Linked DNA regions of Stegostoma tigrinum. The protein of the gene in region 2 interacts with the protein of the main gene of each other region in a pairwise test. Links are inferred from orthologs where the notes say so. Each region holds a gene or a part of one and is shown on either strand. Other genes may lie near its edges.

Region 1 (7,455 bases), on a different chromosome or scaffold from region 2:
AAGTCAAGTCTGACCGCTCGCGGCACTGCTGTGGGGATTATGGCTAGATGATGGCCTACTGACATTGTTGACAGAGTATTAATCCAGAGACGCGGATAATGTTCTGGGGACCTGGGGTCGAATCCAGCCATGGCAGACAGTGGAATCTGAATTCAACAATAATCTGGGAATGGGAGTCTAACGAGGACCATGCCAATAGTCAGGAAAAAAAAAATCTGGTTCACTAATGCCCTTCAGGGAAGGAAATTTGTCACTTTACCTGGTCTGACTATAGAGCCACAGCAACATGGTTAAATGGGGCGGCACTGCAGCCTCACAGCACCAGGGACCCGCATTTGATTTCAGCCTCAGGTAACTGTCTGTGCGGAGTTTGCACGTTCTCCCCATGTCTGTGTGGGTTTCCTCCAGTTTCCTCCCACAGTCCAAAGATGTGCAGGCTAGGTGGATCGGCCATGCTAAATTGCCCGTAGTGTTCAGGGGTGTGTCGGTTATAGGGGAATGGGTCTGGGTGGGATGCTTCAAGGGGCGGTGTGGACTTGTTGGGCCAAAGGGCCTGTTCCACACTGTAGAGAATCTAATCTAATCTAAATCTTAACTGCTCCCTTGGCAATAAATACCAGTCCATCGAGTGACACTCACATCCATGAATGAATAGACAAAATGTAATACAGATTGGCTATCTTCATGCACCTATTCAAACCTATGTATGTTTATCTTCCAGTGTGATTCATTTACACATGCTACAAGTGCATTCACTCACAGGGCTTTGCATTTTGAGCTCTTTGTTCAAAAAGAATTAAAGAATTCCAACATCTTGTCTCTATATAGCAATCTTTGAACCAATGAAGGGCTGAAGTGGAAGTATTCGTACATCTCAGGGAGACCAGTTGTCATAAACAGGAAACAGATTCAGAGAGCAGTTCACAAAGAAACAAGGATCAACTAGGAACAGCAGTAAATATAAAGATTTCTCTACAATATCAACACACTCACCACCACTTCCTGGGAACAAGTTGTTTATTAAAGGCCGTATAAAGATTCTAGCCTGACTGGCCTTTCTCTCAAACCCCAACATACTCTTGCCCTTTCTTTTGCCTCCTTCCATCTGCCACAAGTCAGTCCACACAACTGAGCCTTACCTGGTCGCTGGGCTCACACTCCACAATTTGCGCACCATACTCCAGTATGGCAGCCTTTTTGCACGCCGGGGCATTTCGGGGCACAACCACATATGAGGGGATCCCTGAGACAGTTCAAAACACACACACTTACACGGGGCTTAACAACAGCAGTGTCCCTAACCTGATTGCACCTTCTTCAAATGGGGAACAGACAGGATGACCCAAGATCCGCCTCATTTTCTATCCTCACCAAACCCGTCACTGGCTCACCATTTCAATACTAACTTCAACTGTGAGAAACACTGGGACTTCAGGTAAGGCAATCTGTTGCTGTATAACACAGGGGTACATTAACGGTAGGGACAGGACTGTCACTGTATAACACTGGGGTACATTAACGGTAGGGACAGGCCTGTCACTGTACAACACTGGGGTACAGTACTGGTGGGCACAGGTCTGTCACTGTATAATACTGGGGTACAGTACCGGTGGTCTGTCACTACACAATCCTGGGACACTGGAATGATGAAGAAGGGTCTGTTTCTGTATCACTCTGGGGTCTAGTATTGGTGCAGACAGATCTGTCAATGTATAATACTGGGGTACAGTACTGGTAGGGGCAGGTCTTATTTGGCCTTTCCTGCAGTCCCCACCTTGCATTTGAGCAGCTAGGGCCAGTGCCTGTCCATGATTACCACTGCTGTGTGTCACCACAGCTCGAACATCCTCGCCATTTTGCCTCCTCGCGCTGAGGCTGGACACTGCATTCAGGGCTCCTCGGATCTGAAGGGAATAACAAATCTCATCAACTCGCTGGTGGAAAGCAAACGATGCAAATTTTTTGTCCTCACATTCCAATGTCTGCCCCTTCCCCACCCCCCCGCCCATATCTGTAACCTCCTCCAGCCCCCAAAACACTCCAAGATCTCTGCATTCCTCCAATTCTGGCACCACAAGAAACTCTAATGTCCCTTGGGTCAACATTGGGGCCACACCTTCAGCTCCCTGGGTACTTAAGGTCTGGAATTTCCACCATAAACTTCACTTCCCTAAGGTATTTCTTACAATCTGCCTCCTTAATCAAGCTTTTGGTCACTCACCTTGAGACTTCCTTTCAGACGGCTATGAAATATTCCCTGATAATTACTCTTGTAGTTTCTGGGGATGTTTTATTGTGTTAAGATTGCTATAAAAACACATTATGCTAATATGAAAAGTAGTCCTAACCTTCTACCAGCAGAGTGCAGTATCACTTAGCTATGTTAAACTGACTGGCTCAAATTATATCCAGGACCCAGCCTAGTAACATGAATAATATAGTGTTAAATAGCCTGGATTTTTATGATAACTGATTCTATACAACAGGAATAAATTGGAAAAAGTTTGGTCTCTTGGGATTGCGTACATTGGGATGAATAGAAAGAGATTTAACCCAACAGAATTGCATACAATGGGAGTGAATGGGAAAAGTTTGATTAATTGGTATTGAGTACAATGGGAGTGAATGCAAAGCGGTTTGGTTAATTGGGATTATGTAATATGGGAGGGAACAGAAAGGGTTTGATAAATTGGAATGTATAAAATGGGAGTGCATTGGCAGTGATTTGGTTGATTTGGATTGTGTGCAATCCAATTGTGTGGGAGTAAATGGGAAGGGGTTTGGTTCCAACAGAATTATCCACAATGGAAGTGACAGGGAAGGGACCCGAGTCCATCAAGATTATGTAGAGTGGGGGTGAATGAGAAGGGGTTTGGCTAATTGTGATCATGTACAGTGGGATAAATTAGGAAGGGGTTTGGGTCCACTGAGATTATGTGCTTCCTTTGTGTTTCAAAGACCAGATCCAATTCTATTTCTTTATCCCTCTCCTGTTTCTGAATCAACAACATATTGATGCCAGGGTGGCATTTCAATTTCTTAAAAGCATCTTACCTTGAATGATCCAGTTTTTTGGAAAAGTTCACACTTGAGAAAGATCTTCCTATCAGCTCGCTTGTCCAGGGTGGAGTTGGTGAGGACTGGCGTCCGGTGGACAAGATCACAGATGACCATGTGAGCCTTCTGTACACTCGCCAGGGAGACACAGTACTGAGACTCCATGGCTACTTACAACTAGCAAAGAATTTCAACAGGAATGGTATAAAGCAGCAGTTAAGACCACAGATAGTACAATGCAATGGCAATTGCCACATTATAGGAAGGATGTGATCGCAATAAGGAAGGATGCAGAGCAAGATCTTTACCAGAATGGCATATTGTAACTGGGAGACAAGATCAGATAGTTGAGTCTGATTTCTTCGGAACACACAAGATCTAATCAAGATGTACAGAATTGAAGGTTCTAGATAATCCAACTTTCCTTGACAGAACAAGTCAAATGACAAGTGAGGCATAGATTTAAAGTAAGCAACAGAAACCTTTGCTGCGCAGGGGCTTGGTGCATGTGATGGGTATCTGTTTTCACTCAAAGGGGTCTGGAACACAATTCCTGAAAGGGTAGTAATATCCTTACTGCTCCTGAGAAAAAAATTGGATGTGCACTTGTAGCAACAGGGTCTACAGACCAAGAGCTGGTGGAAAGCGGGAATGAGACTAGATATCTCTTTCAGAGATGATAGGAACAGACAAGATGGGCAGAATGACCTATTTCTATCAGGGCTCTGGGGATAGGGATGAGGATATGGGATTAAAAGAACTATTGGGAGTACAGAAGGGGGGAGAAACTGAGCTAACGGTGCCCCGAAGAGCTGCCTCTTTTTTTGACAATGACCGTGGAGGTGCAGTCATATGCGCTGCACCATAGGTCCCGTTGCAATAGCACAATTGTATTTGCCCTGGAAAAGGGTCGGGGTCAGAAAGAGAGCATCTGAGCGGCCTGACGGCAGGCCTCAAACGATCAACTAGGCCTCGGCATCTCCCTGGTAACGGCACCAAGAAGACACCCGCCCCCATTACCCGTTGTGACCCCGCCCTTCGCCGTTATCCCCGCCTCCCTACCGCACTAACCACGCCCCCTAAACGAAGGAGCCCCGCCCCGAGCTTGACAACGCCCGAGTCTGATCCCGCCCCCTCGCGGATCCGACCCCGCCCCGAACACCAATGATTCTGGCCCCCTCCCCCTCGCCGAAGGTCAGCGCCCGGAGTCCGGACTCCGCTCCTGCCCCGACTCTAACCCCGCCCCCTTACGAACTCTGGTCCCGCCCCTTGATCGCACAGACTCCGCCTCCCGCCCGGACGATCCCATTCTCACCATCCCGCAGGAGGAGAGGGGTGTCCGACTAGTCTATTCTCCCATTTTAGCGGTTAAGTTGAAGCCAAGCCTCAAGAAGACGTCACTTCCGACAACGCTGAGGGTGCCTGAAGTAGCAGCATGGCCTTAAACAGTGGTAATGGGCCCTGGGGAGGGAGAGAGGGATGAGAATAAAGAGAAAGAAGAGAGGGATGAGAATAAAGAGAGAGGAGAGGGATAGGAATAGGAGAGAGGGATGAGAATAAAGAGAGAGGAGAGAGGGGGATGAGAATAAACAGAGAGGAGAGAGGGATAGGAGAGAGGGATGAGAATAAAGAGAGAGGAGAGGGATAGGAGAGAGGGATGAGAATAAGGAGAGAGGGATGAGAATAAAGAGAGAGGAGAGAGGGATAGGAGAGGGGGATGAGAATAAAGAGAGAGGAGAGAGGGATAGGAGAGGGGGATGAGAATAAAGAGAGAGGAGAGAGGGATAGGAGAGAGGGATGAGAATAAAGAGAGAGGAGAGAGGGATAGGAGAGAGGGATGAGAATAAAGAGAGAGGAGAGAGGGATAGGAGAGAGGGATGAGAATAAAGAGAGAGGAGAGAGGGATAGGAGAGAGGGATGAGAATAAAGAGAGAGGAGAGGGGGATAGGAGAGAGGGATGAGAATAAAGAGAGAGGAGAGGGGGATAGGAGAGAGGGATGAGAATAAAGAGAGCGGAGAGAGGGATAGGAGAGAGGGATGAGAATAAAGAGAGAGGAGAGGGGGATAGGAGAGGGGGATGAGAATAAAGAGAGAGGAGAGGGGGATAGGAGAGGGGGATGAGAATAAAGAGAGAGGAGAGGGGGATAAGAGAGGGGGATGAGAATAAAGAGAGAGGAGAGGGGGATGAGAATAAAGAGAGAGGAGAGGGGGAAGAGAATAAAGAGAGAGGAGAGGGGGATGAGAATAAAGAGAGAGGAGAGGGGGACAGGAGAGGGGGATGAGAATAAAGAGAGAGGAGAGGGGGACAGGAGAGGGGGATGAGAATAAAGAGAGAGGAGAGGGGGACAGGAGAGGGGGATGAGAATAAAGAGAGAGGAGAGGGGGACAGGAGAGGGGGATGAGAATAAAGAGAGAGGAGAGGGGGACAGGAGAGGGGGATGAGAATAAAGAGAGAGGAGAGGGGGACAGGAGAGGGGGATGAGAATAAAGAGAGAGGAGAGGGGGACAGGAGAGGGGGATGAGAATAAAGAGAGAGGAGAGGGGGACAGGAGAGGGGGATGAGAATAAAGAGAGAGGAGAGGGGGACAGGAGAGGGGGATGAGAATAAAGAGAGAGGAGAGGGGGACAGGAGAGGGGGATGAGAATAAAGAGAGAGGAGAGGGGGACAGGAGAGGGGGATGAGAATAAAGAGAGAGGAGAGGGGGACAGGAGAGGGGGATGAGAATAAAGAGAGAGGAGAGGGGGACAGGAGAGGGGGATGAGAATAAAGAGAGAGGAGAGGGGGACAGGAGAGGGGGATGAGAATAAAGAGAGAGGAGAGGGGGACAGGAGAGGGGGATGAGAATAAAGAGAGAGGAGAGGGGGACAGGAGAGGGGGATGAGAATAAAGAGAGAGGAGAGGGGGACAGGAGAGGGGGATGAGAATAAAGAGAGAGGAGAGGGGGACAGGAGAGGGGGATGAGAATAAAGAGAGAGGAGAGGGGGACAGGAGAGGGGGATGAGAATAAAGAGAGAGGAGAGGGGGACAGGAGAGGGGGATGAGAATAAAGAGAGAGGAGAGGGGGACAGGAGAGGGGGATGAGAATAAAGAGAGAGGAGAGGGGGACAGGAGAGGGGGATGAGAATAAAGAGAGAGGAGAGGGGGACAGGAGAGGGGGATGAGAATAAAGAGAGAGGAGAGGGGGACAGGAGAGGGGGATGAGAATAAAGAGAGAGGAGAGGGGGACAGGAGAGGGGGATGAGAATAAAGAGAGAGGAGAGGGGGACAGGAGAGGGGGATGAGAATAAAGAGAGAGGAGAGGGGGACGAGAATAAAGAGAGAGGAGAGGGGGACAGGAGAGGGGGACGAGAATAAAGAGAGAGGAGAGGGGGACGAGAATAAAGAGAGAGGAGAGGGGGACAGGAGAGGGGGACGAGAATAAAGAGAGAGGAGAGGGGGACGAGAATAAAGAGAGAGGAGAGGGGGACAGGAGAGGGGGACGAGAATAAAGAGAGAGGAGAGGGGGACGAGAATAAAGAGAGAGGAGAGGGGGACAGGAGAGGGGGACGAGAATAAAGAGAGAGGAGAGGGGGACGAGAATAAAGAGAGAGGAGAGGGGGACAGGAGAGGGGGACGAGAATAAAGAGAGAGGAGAGGGGGACGAGAATAAAGAGAGAGGAGAGGGGGACGAGAATAAAGAGAGAGGAGAGGGGGACAGGAGAGGGGGACGAGAATAAAGAGAGAGGAGAGGGGGACAGGAGAGGGGGACGAGAATAAAGAGAGAGGAGAGGGGGACAGGAGAGGGGGACGAGAATAAAGAGAGAGGAGAGGGGGACAGGAGAGGGGGACGAGAATAAAGAGAGAGGAGAGGGGGACAGGAGAGGGGGATGAGAATAAAGAGAGAGGAGAGGGGGATGAGAATAAAGAGAGAGGAGAGGGGGATGAGAATAAAGAGAGAGGAGAGGGGGACAGGAGAGGGGGATGAGAATAAAGAGAGAGGAGAGGGGGATGAGAATAAAGAGAGAGGAGAGGGGGATGAGAATAAAGAGAGAGGAGAGGGGGACAGGAGAGGGGGATGAGAATAAAGAGAGAGGAGAGGGGGATGAGAATAAAGAGAGAGGAGAGGGGGATGAGAATAAAGAGAGAGGAGAGGGGGACAGGAGAGGGGGATGAGAATAAAGAGAGAGGAGAGGGGGATGAGAATAAAGAGAGAGGAGAGGGGGACAGGAGAGGGGGATGAGAATAAAGAGAGAGGAGAGGGGGACAGGAGAGGGGGATGAGAATAAAGAGAGAGGAGAGGGGGACAGGAGAGGGGGATGAGAATAAAGAGAGAGGAGAGGGGGACAGGAGAGGGGGATGAGAATAAAGAGAGAGGAGAGGGGGATAGGAGAGGGGGATGAGAATAAAGAGAGAGGAGA
Region 2 (7,368 bases):
CTTAAATACCTATAGAAAGCCTTAGGGTTTACCCTGATCCTATCAGCCAGCAACTTCTCATGTCTTCTCCTGGCTCTTCTGAGCTCTCTCTTTCGGTCTTTCCTGGCTAACTCGTAACCCTCAAGCGCCCTAACTGAGCCTTCACATCTCATCCTAACATAAGCTTCTTCTTCCTCTTGACCAGAGATTCCACTCCCTCCGTAAACCACGGCTCCCGTGCTCTACAGCTTCCTTCCTGCCTGACAGGTACATACTCATCTCGGACACACAGAGCTTTTCCTTGAATAAGCTCCACATTTCTAATGTGCCCATCCCCTGCAGTTTCCTTCCCCATCCTATGCTCCCTAAATCTTGCCTAATCTCATTGTAATTGCCTTTCCCCCAGCTATAACTCTTGCCCAGTGGTATACACCTATCCCTTTCCATCACTAAAGTAAACATAACAGAATTGTGATCGCTATCACCAAAGTGCTCACCTACTTCCAAATCTAACACCTGGCCGGGCTCATTACCCAGTACCAAAGCTAATGTGGCTTCGCCCCTTGTTGGCCTGTCTATATACTGTGTCAGGAAGCCCTCCTGCACACACTGGGCAAAAACTGACCCAAATATAGCACTCGAACTATAGTGTTCCCAGTCAATATTTGGAAAGTTGAAGTCCCCCATGACAACTACCCTGTCTCTCTCACTCCTATCGAGAATCATCTTTGCTATCCTTTCCTGTGCATATCTGGGACTATTCGGAGGCCTATAGAAAACTCCCAACAGGGTGATCTCTTCTTTTCTGTTTCCAACCTTGCCCGTGCTACCTCAGTTGACGAGTCCCCAAACATCTTTTCTGCAACTGTAATACCGTCCTTGACCAACAATGCCACACCTCCCCCTCTTTAACCGTCTTCTCTGCTCTTACTGAAACATCTAAATCCCGGAACCTGCAACAACCATTCCTGTCCCTGCTCTATCCATGTCTCCGAAATGGCCTTCAGAACACCTTTGAGGATAAAGAACGTCTTGATGTTCCCCTTGACTGTTTCCCCCCCCAGTCCAGTGTAGAGTTAGACAGGGGCTTCACGGTTCTCCAACCTGTAACCCCTTTTGAGCTCCTCAATATTTTCTGGAGTTAACAGTTTTCACATTCAGCTTCCACATTTTCTTGCCGGCCTGTGGGCATCCTATAGGTGGCAGTCAGCCAGCAGGAAGCAGTGGTCAGAGAAGAGTATTGGCTTGACATCAGTGGATCTGAATGAGAAGGTGTAAGATGCAAACACGAAATTGATCCTTGAATAGACAGATCCGTCTAGTGGCCACCAGGTATATCTATGTTACAATCCATCTGCAGGGGGGCTGAAGAAGTCTTTCAGTTTGGCAACTTTAACTGTTTCCATAAGGAATCTGGAAGACCATTACGTTTTGGGCAAACTAATTTTTTTTTCTTTCAAAAATATACTGTATTCATAAAAAAATTCTCTCATATGTATACGCTGTCACAAAAGCAATTTGGTTCTGTATAGCTGCACATCAGTAAATAAACAAACCTAACCAAAAAACCAAAGACCTTTCTTCCACATACAGTACTAATATTTACCTATATTTGAGGCACTAGGAGGGTCCAATAACTGGAAGGACACTCATTTACTTTTAGCTGGAAGACTTCAGCAGTGGTCCTTCCCCACTGTGCTTTGATGGCAGCTGCCCCAAACTTTAGTGTGTCCCTCAGCATGCAGTCCCAGACTTTGAAATGTGCCAGTCTGCAACACCGAGTTGAGGTTGGCTCCTTGTTCTGAATGACTAACAAGTCTTGAGCAAATCAAAGAGCGTCTTTCACTGAATTGATGGTACTCCAGCTCCAGCTAATGTTTGTCTCGGTGTGTGTCCTGGTGAACAGACCGTACAGGGCACAGTCCCGTGTCACGGAGCTGCTTAAGACAAACCTTGACACAAACCATGCATCTTCCTCCAGACTTCTTTGGCAGAGGCATATTCCAGAAGGAGATGTGTCACAGTCTCAACCTCAATACCCCTCACCAGCAGCCCCCCATCACCACCACCCTCCATCTTCAAACCTCCGAACCAGCCACTTCAAGAGCAGCGGGCAGTAGTGCAGACATAAAGGATCTCCCAGGTACTTCCCTTATCAGCAAAAGCCAAGCAACGTCTTGGTGCTTTTCCGAAGTTCGGGTGATGAGGCATTCTGCCAAATGACTTTGACAATTTTCTTAGGGAACCATGCAACAGGATCCACCCTCTTCTTTTCTCTCAGGGTACACTTCCTGATGGACTGCTAGTCAAAGGTGCTTTGCAAATTTCTCGATGAAGGAGAAGTGATAGGGGATGTGGCAGCAAGGCCAGTCCCATCCCTTGAAACACTGAGGGACAGGTAAAACCTCAGTATGCAGTGGCACTTGGTGTTGTGTACTAAGGGTCTATGCACAGCTTCATGTAGCCAAACACAAAGGTTTAATGTTCTTGTTAAGATTTGTAGCTTGGCTTGTGGATGAGGTTGTTGGCTTGCTCGCTTTGCTGGCTGGTTATTTAGCTTCATCCATCTAGTAGGCACCTGTGGATGAAATTATTGAGATATCCGTTGTTCATTAATTTGATCCTGGTGAAAATGTTTTTGATAAGATGGTGCGTTTCTTCTAACTTGGTTTAATGATGATGCATCATCCATGTATCAGATCCACAGTTCTGGCTGTATGAGGGGCAGGTTTGTGCACTCCAGTCTTTGCATGACTGCCCCTGCAATAAGTCCCGAGTCCTAGGGTCAAATTTACAAAAGAAGATGAAGACAACAATCAACTTCCATTCCAAGATGTCAGGGTAGAACGAATGACCAATGGGGAGTTCACAGTACACAGGAAGGCAACCCATATTGACCAAATCCTCAATTTCCACAGCAATCACCCAACGTCCACAAACAAAGCTGTGTTAGGACATTATTCCAATGAGCCGCAATACACTGCAACATGCCAGAACTACGTAGAAAGGAGGAAGAGCACCTATACAAGGTATCTGTTAATAACAGACATCCCAACAATTTCATCCGCAGGTGCCGTCTAGATAGGCAACACCAACAGGACACATCACACTATCCTATATCATGAACATATCAGAACTGACGAGACTCCTATGACCACTAGGAATCATGGCAGGACACAAATCCACAGCTACACTACAACAAACACCCACAAGGACCAAAGAACCCATACCCATGACGTGTAAGACCAACATAGTTTACAAAAATACCTTCCAATGACTGCAACAAACATTACAATAGCCAGACTGGAAGGAAACTAGCCATCAGGATACATGAACACCAGGTGGCAGAAAAACAACATGACAAACTTTCCCTCATCACAGTGCACTCAGACAATGTGGCCATCAATTTAACTGGAACAATGGGACCATCCTGGCTCAAGCCAACAACAGATATGCACTGGTTTTCAACCCATAATGCAATCAACAAACATGTGGAATTAGACCTCATGTACAAACCCATGCAAAAAAGAACAGGAAATGGCACAACACAACTCGACAGAGCAGATCATATAAATTCCAAGTGGAGTAGAACAGTTTTGCTTCATTGGATGCCGCACTGATGTTACCCAGCATGGTGATGAAAGGTCTGTATGATAAAACACAAAGGTGGCCATCAGGAGGGCAACAGTGGGAACGTTCTCTGCCACCACCATCCAGAGTTTTATACATGGAGTTCCTGCAGGCCCAGTCTATCTTAGGCTTCCAGATGAAATAGAAGATGACTCAGGTGATTGAAACATCAGTGACGGGAGGCAGGCCAGACCTGTGTCGTTTACAGCATCAGAGACAGAGTGCTTCACACCTGATAACCAGGTTTATCCCCGCAACGGACAAGGAACAGTGCTTCCAGAAGACCAATTTCTGCTTCACTTTGGCGATGCACTCCTCTCAGATTTTGTGCATGCCCTAGGCCCTCTGAGCCATATTCCCAGCACTTTCAGGTAATCTGTCGTGACGGTGACGGGAATGAAGGATCGGTTGGCCCAATTCCCAAAGAACATGGCCTCGCTGTTGCCCCGATTTTTACCTTGGCTCCCGAGCCCATTTCTACCAGGGCAAAGGGCGGGAACGCTGTGGTCAACCCCTTCAAAGGCTGCAAACCGTTCATGTTTTCCATAGTCACACAGCTCGGTAGCTATGACTGGAAAGTACATTACACCGTACTCTCCGACTTAACCTCTGCTCTTCCTTCCCCAACCCAAGCGGCTGACAGCTAGGTTCCCACGTTCCAAACCGTCGCAGGCTGACTGTTCTCACGCGAGATCACGGCCCTCAACCCGACTCGTTTCCCATTGGACCAACGCTTCGCGAAACGTCACTAGGAGGTGGGGTTAGTGCTGAACAGCGGAAACGAAAGCAGTCTCGAGCCAGGTGAGTCTGAACGTTAGAGGTTGTCTGTGTTGGTGCAGCGTGATCTCTACCCTGGGGTTTGAATGTGTGAGCAGCTCCGTTAGTCCCGTTGAAGCTCCCGACTCCTCCTGCTGTTGTAAGAGAGATAATGGGAAAGCGTGTGGGGGTGGTTCGGCTTGATTTACAGTCGGCACCTGACTTCTGCAGACCGATTCAAACTCTTCGTGCTTTTCTCATGCTTTGTGGTCTGCGCTTCCTGCAGTCCGTTCATATTTAATATTCCCTCATCCCCAGTTTAAAGGTGAGGTTTCAAGTCGCACTGCTGGTCTTGTACTCGTGAATCCAGTCTGGCCGTTATAATAGAGGGCCAGTTGAAAATGTTTTTTGGATAAGATCGTCAGTTGAGATTAAATCTGCCTTTTCTGATGGATGTAAAAGGTCCCTTATCACTTTCTTGGAACAAGACAGGAGACCGGATATTGGTGCATTGACTAGTCTTTGTGGTGTAGTTATCTTCGGAACCTAGTCACCGTCACCAAAATAAATTGGCCTCCATCACTGTTTGTGGAAGATTGCTGTATGAAAGTCTACTGATGTTTTTTTCTCTCAAGATTACAGCAATACTTTGAAAAAACAGAAATTGCTGATGAAAGCTCAGCAAATCTGGGAGTATCTGCGAGAAGAAAGCAAGAGTTAATGTTTGAGTCTAATGACAGCATGGTCAAACTGGTGTCTAATGAAAAGTCACTAGATTTGCAACATCAACTCTGCTTTTTTTCCACAAATGCTGCCAGACCTGCTGAGTTTTGTGACAATTTTCTATTTATGATTAAGATTTCTAGCATCCACAGTTCTTTGTTTTACTTCAGGAGCTCTTATTTGGCTGTGAAGTGCTGAGGGTCCATTAGACAAAGAGTTTCAGAAGGACAAACACAAGTTCCCACATTTTATTCATGAGTTTATTTAGACTTTAGTGGTGGGCCTGATAAAGTAGACATAAGTGATATGTTGATAACATTGTGGAGCTGGAAGAACACAGCAGGCCAGGCAGCATCTGAGGAGCAGTAAAGTTGACATTTTGGGTCTGGACCCTTCTTCAGAAATGGGGAGGGGGAAGGGAGCTCAGTAATAGAGGAGGGGTGGAGGTGGGGAATGTGGGTGGGATGGTGATTTTTTTTTTTGAGTGCAAGTAGGGAGTAGTGGGAATTGGTCAGCTAGGTGGGGGGGATGGCTAGGTGGGAGAGAAGATGGACAGGTTGGGTCAGGTCAAGGAGGTGGGGATGAGAGGGTGGCTTGGACATGGGATGAGGTTGGGGTTAGGGAGATTTTAAAACTAGTGAATTCCGTAGCGCTGTAGGCTCCCAAGGTGGAATATATGTTTTACTCCTCTAGTTTTCATGTAGTACCATTGTATCACAATGGAGGAGGCCCAGATGGACATCCCACCAAGGACCTTAACATCTGCTCTTCTCCCCCCCCCCCCCCCAAGTGATTGTAAATGCCCTCAACCACATCTCTTGCATTTCCTGCACCTCTGCCCTCACATTCCCTCCCCCCAGCAAAAATAAAGACACAATCCCCCTTGTCCTCTCATATCACCCCACCAATCTCTGCATCCAACATATTTTCTGCCACCTATAGCCCAACCCCACAACCAAAGAGATATTTCCCTCCAGAACAATATCTGCCTTTTGTAGGGATGGCTGTCTCCATGACTCACTCATCCGCTCTACAGTCTGTACTTACCCTACTAACCTGGAACCTTTGCCTAGAACTGCAGGAAGTGCTACACCTGCCCCTCCACCTTTCCCCCCCCCCCCCAACCCCCATGTAAGGCACCTGGCAAACCTTTCATATCAGACAGCGATCACTTGCACATCTGTCAACTTGGTCTACTGTATCCGCAGTTCCCAATGTGGCCTCCTCTGCATTGCTGAGACCAAGTGTAGACTTGGAGACTGTGTTTTGTAGAGAGCCTGCTCTCTGCATGGGACAAACAACAACATCTTCTAGTTGTCAACCATTTTAGCTTCCCCCTCCCACTCGCTGGGTGACACATCCATCCTGGGCCTCCTCCAGTGCCACAATGATACCACACAAACTGGAGGAGCAACACCTTATATTCCATCTTGGGAGCCTACAGCCCAGTGGCCTAAACATAGAATTCACCAGTTTTAAAATCTCCCCATCCCTGGCCTCATCCCTGCCACCTTGACCTGACACAACCTGTCCCTCTTCTCTCCCACCTATCCGCCCCACTGAACAATCCTGACGATTTCCTACCTGCACCCACCTATCGCCATCCCACCTACCTTTCCCAGGACTACCCCTTCTCTGTATTTATTTCTGAACACTCTTCCCCCTCCCCCTTTCTGAAGAAGGGTCCCGATCCAAAATGTCAACTTATCTGCACCTCTGATGCTACCTGGCTTGCTGTGTTCTTCCAGTTCCATACTGTGTTACCTCTGACTCCAGCATCTGCATTTCTTTCTATCTATAAATGATATGTTGTAACTTTTTATTTTAACTGCCTGTCAGATTGTAACCCCATGTAAAGTCTGACATTAAATGAATGAGCACTTCTCGTGATCGTCTTTTAAGATGCCCCTTAAAATTTATTTATTTGGTCAAGTCTGTGGCCATATGTCAGGACACTGCATCATCTAGCTTGGTCTCAAATTTTGTGATGCTCCTGTGAATTGCCTTAGGATGTTTTATTACATAAAATGTACCGTATAAATGCAATTTGTATTTATGGATGTGAGTTTGCTCGCTGAGTTGGAAGGTTAGTTTTCAGATGTTTCGTCACCATTCTAGGTAACATCATCAGTGAGCTTTCGATGAAGCGCTAGTGTTAGGTCCCGCTTTCTATTTATAAATAAATACAATAGAAAGCAGGACCTAACACCAGCGCTTCATCGGAGGCTCACTGATGATGTTACCTAGAATGGTGATGAAACGTCTGAAAACTAACCTTCC

What was found. The genes of interacting proteins can lie anywhere in the genome.
Region 1: the proteins of ccnh (region 2) and znrd2 interact in binary tests that used the Homo sapiens proteins (3 or more experiments, as listed by UniProt). The two-hybrid records come from large-scale screens. The link is inferred for Stegostoma tigrinum from reciprocal best matches to the Homo sapiens genes CCNH and ZNRD2.

The regions. Positions count from the first base shown.
Region 1 is NC_081395.1:7,548,169-7,555,623, reverse strand, and holds the start of znrd2 (protein ZNRD2), read left to right. Parts: upstream 1-4,393; 5' UTR 4,394-4,492; coding exon 4,493-4,508; intron 4,509-7,455. Other genes in the region: serine racemase-like, read right to left, coding at 1,140-1,243, 1,775-1,904, 3,055-3,222. UniProt on the Homo sapiens protein: Might play a role in mitosis. Antigenic molecule. Could be a centromere-associated protein. May induce anti-centromere antibodies.
Region 2 is NC_081356.1:95,563,893-95,571,260, forward strand, and holds the start of ccnh (cyclin-H), read left to right. Parts: upstream 1-4,360; 5' UTR 4,361-4,410; intron 4,411-4,543; exon of another isoform or gene 4,544-4,690; intron 4,691-7,368. UniProt on the Homo sapiens protein: Regulates CDK7, the catalytic subunit of the CDK-activating kinase (CAK) enzymatic complex. CAK activates the cyclin-associated kinases CDK1, CDK2, CDK4 and CDK6 by threonine phosphorylation.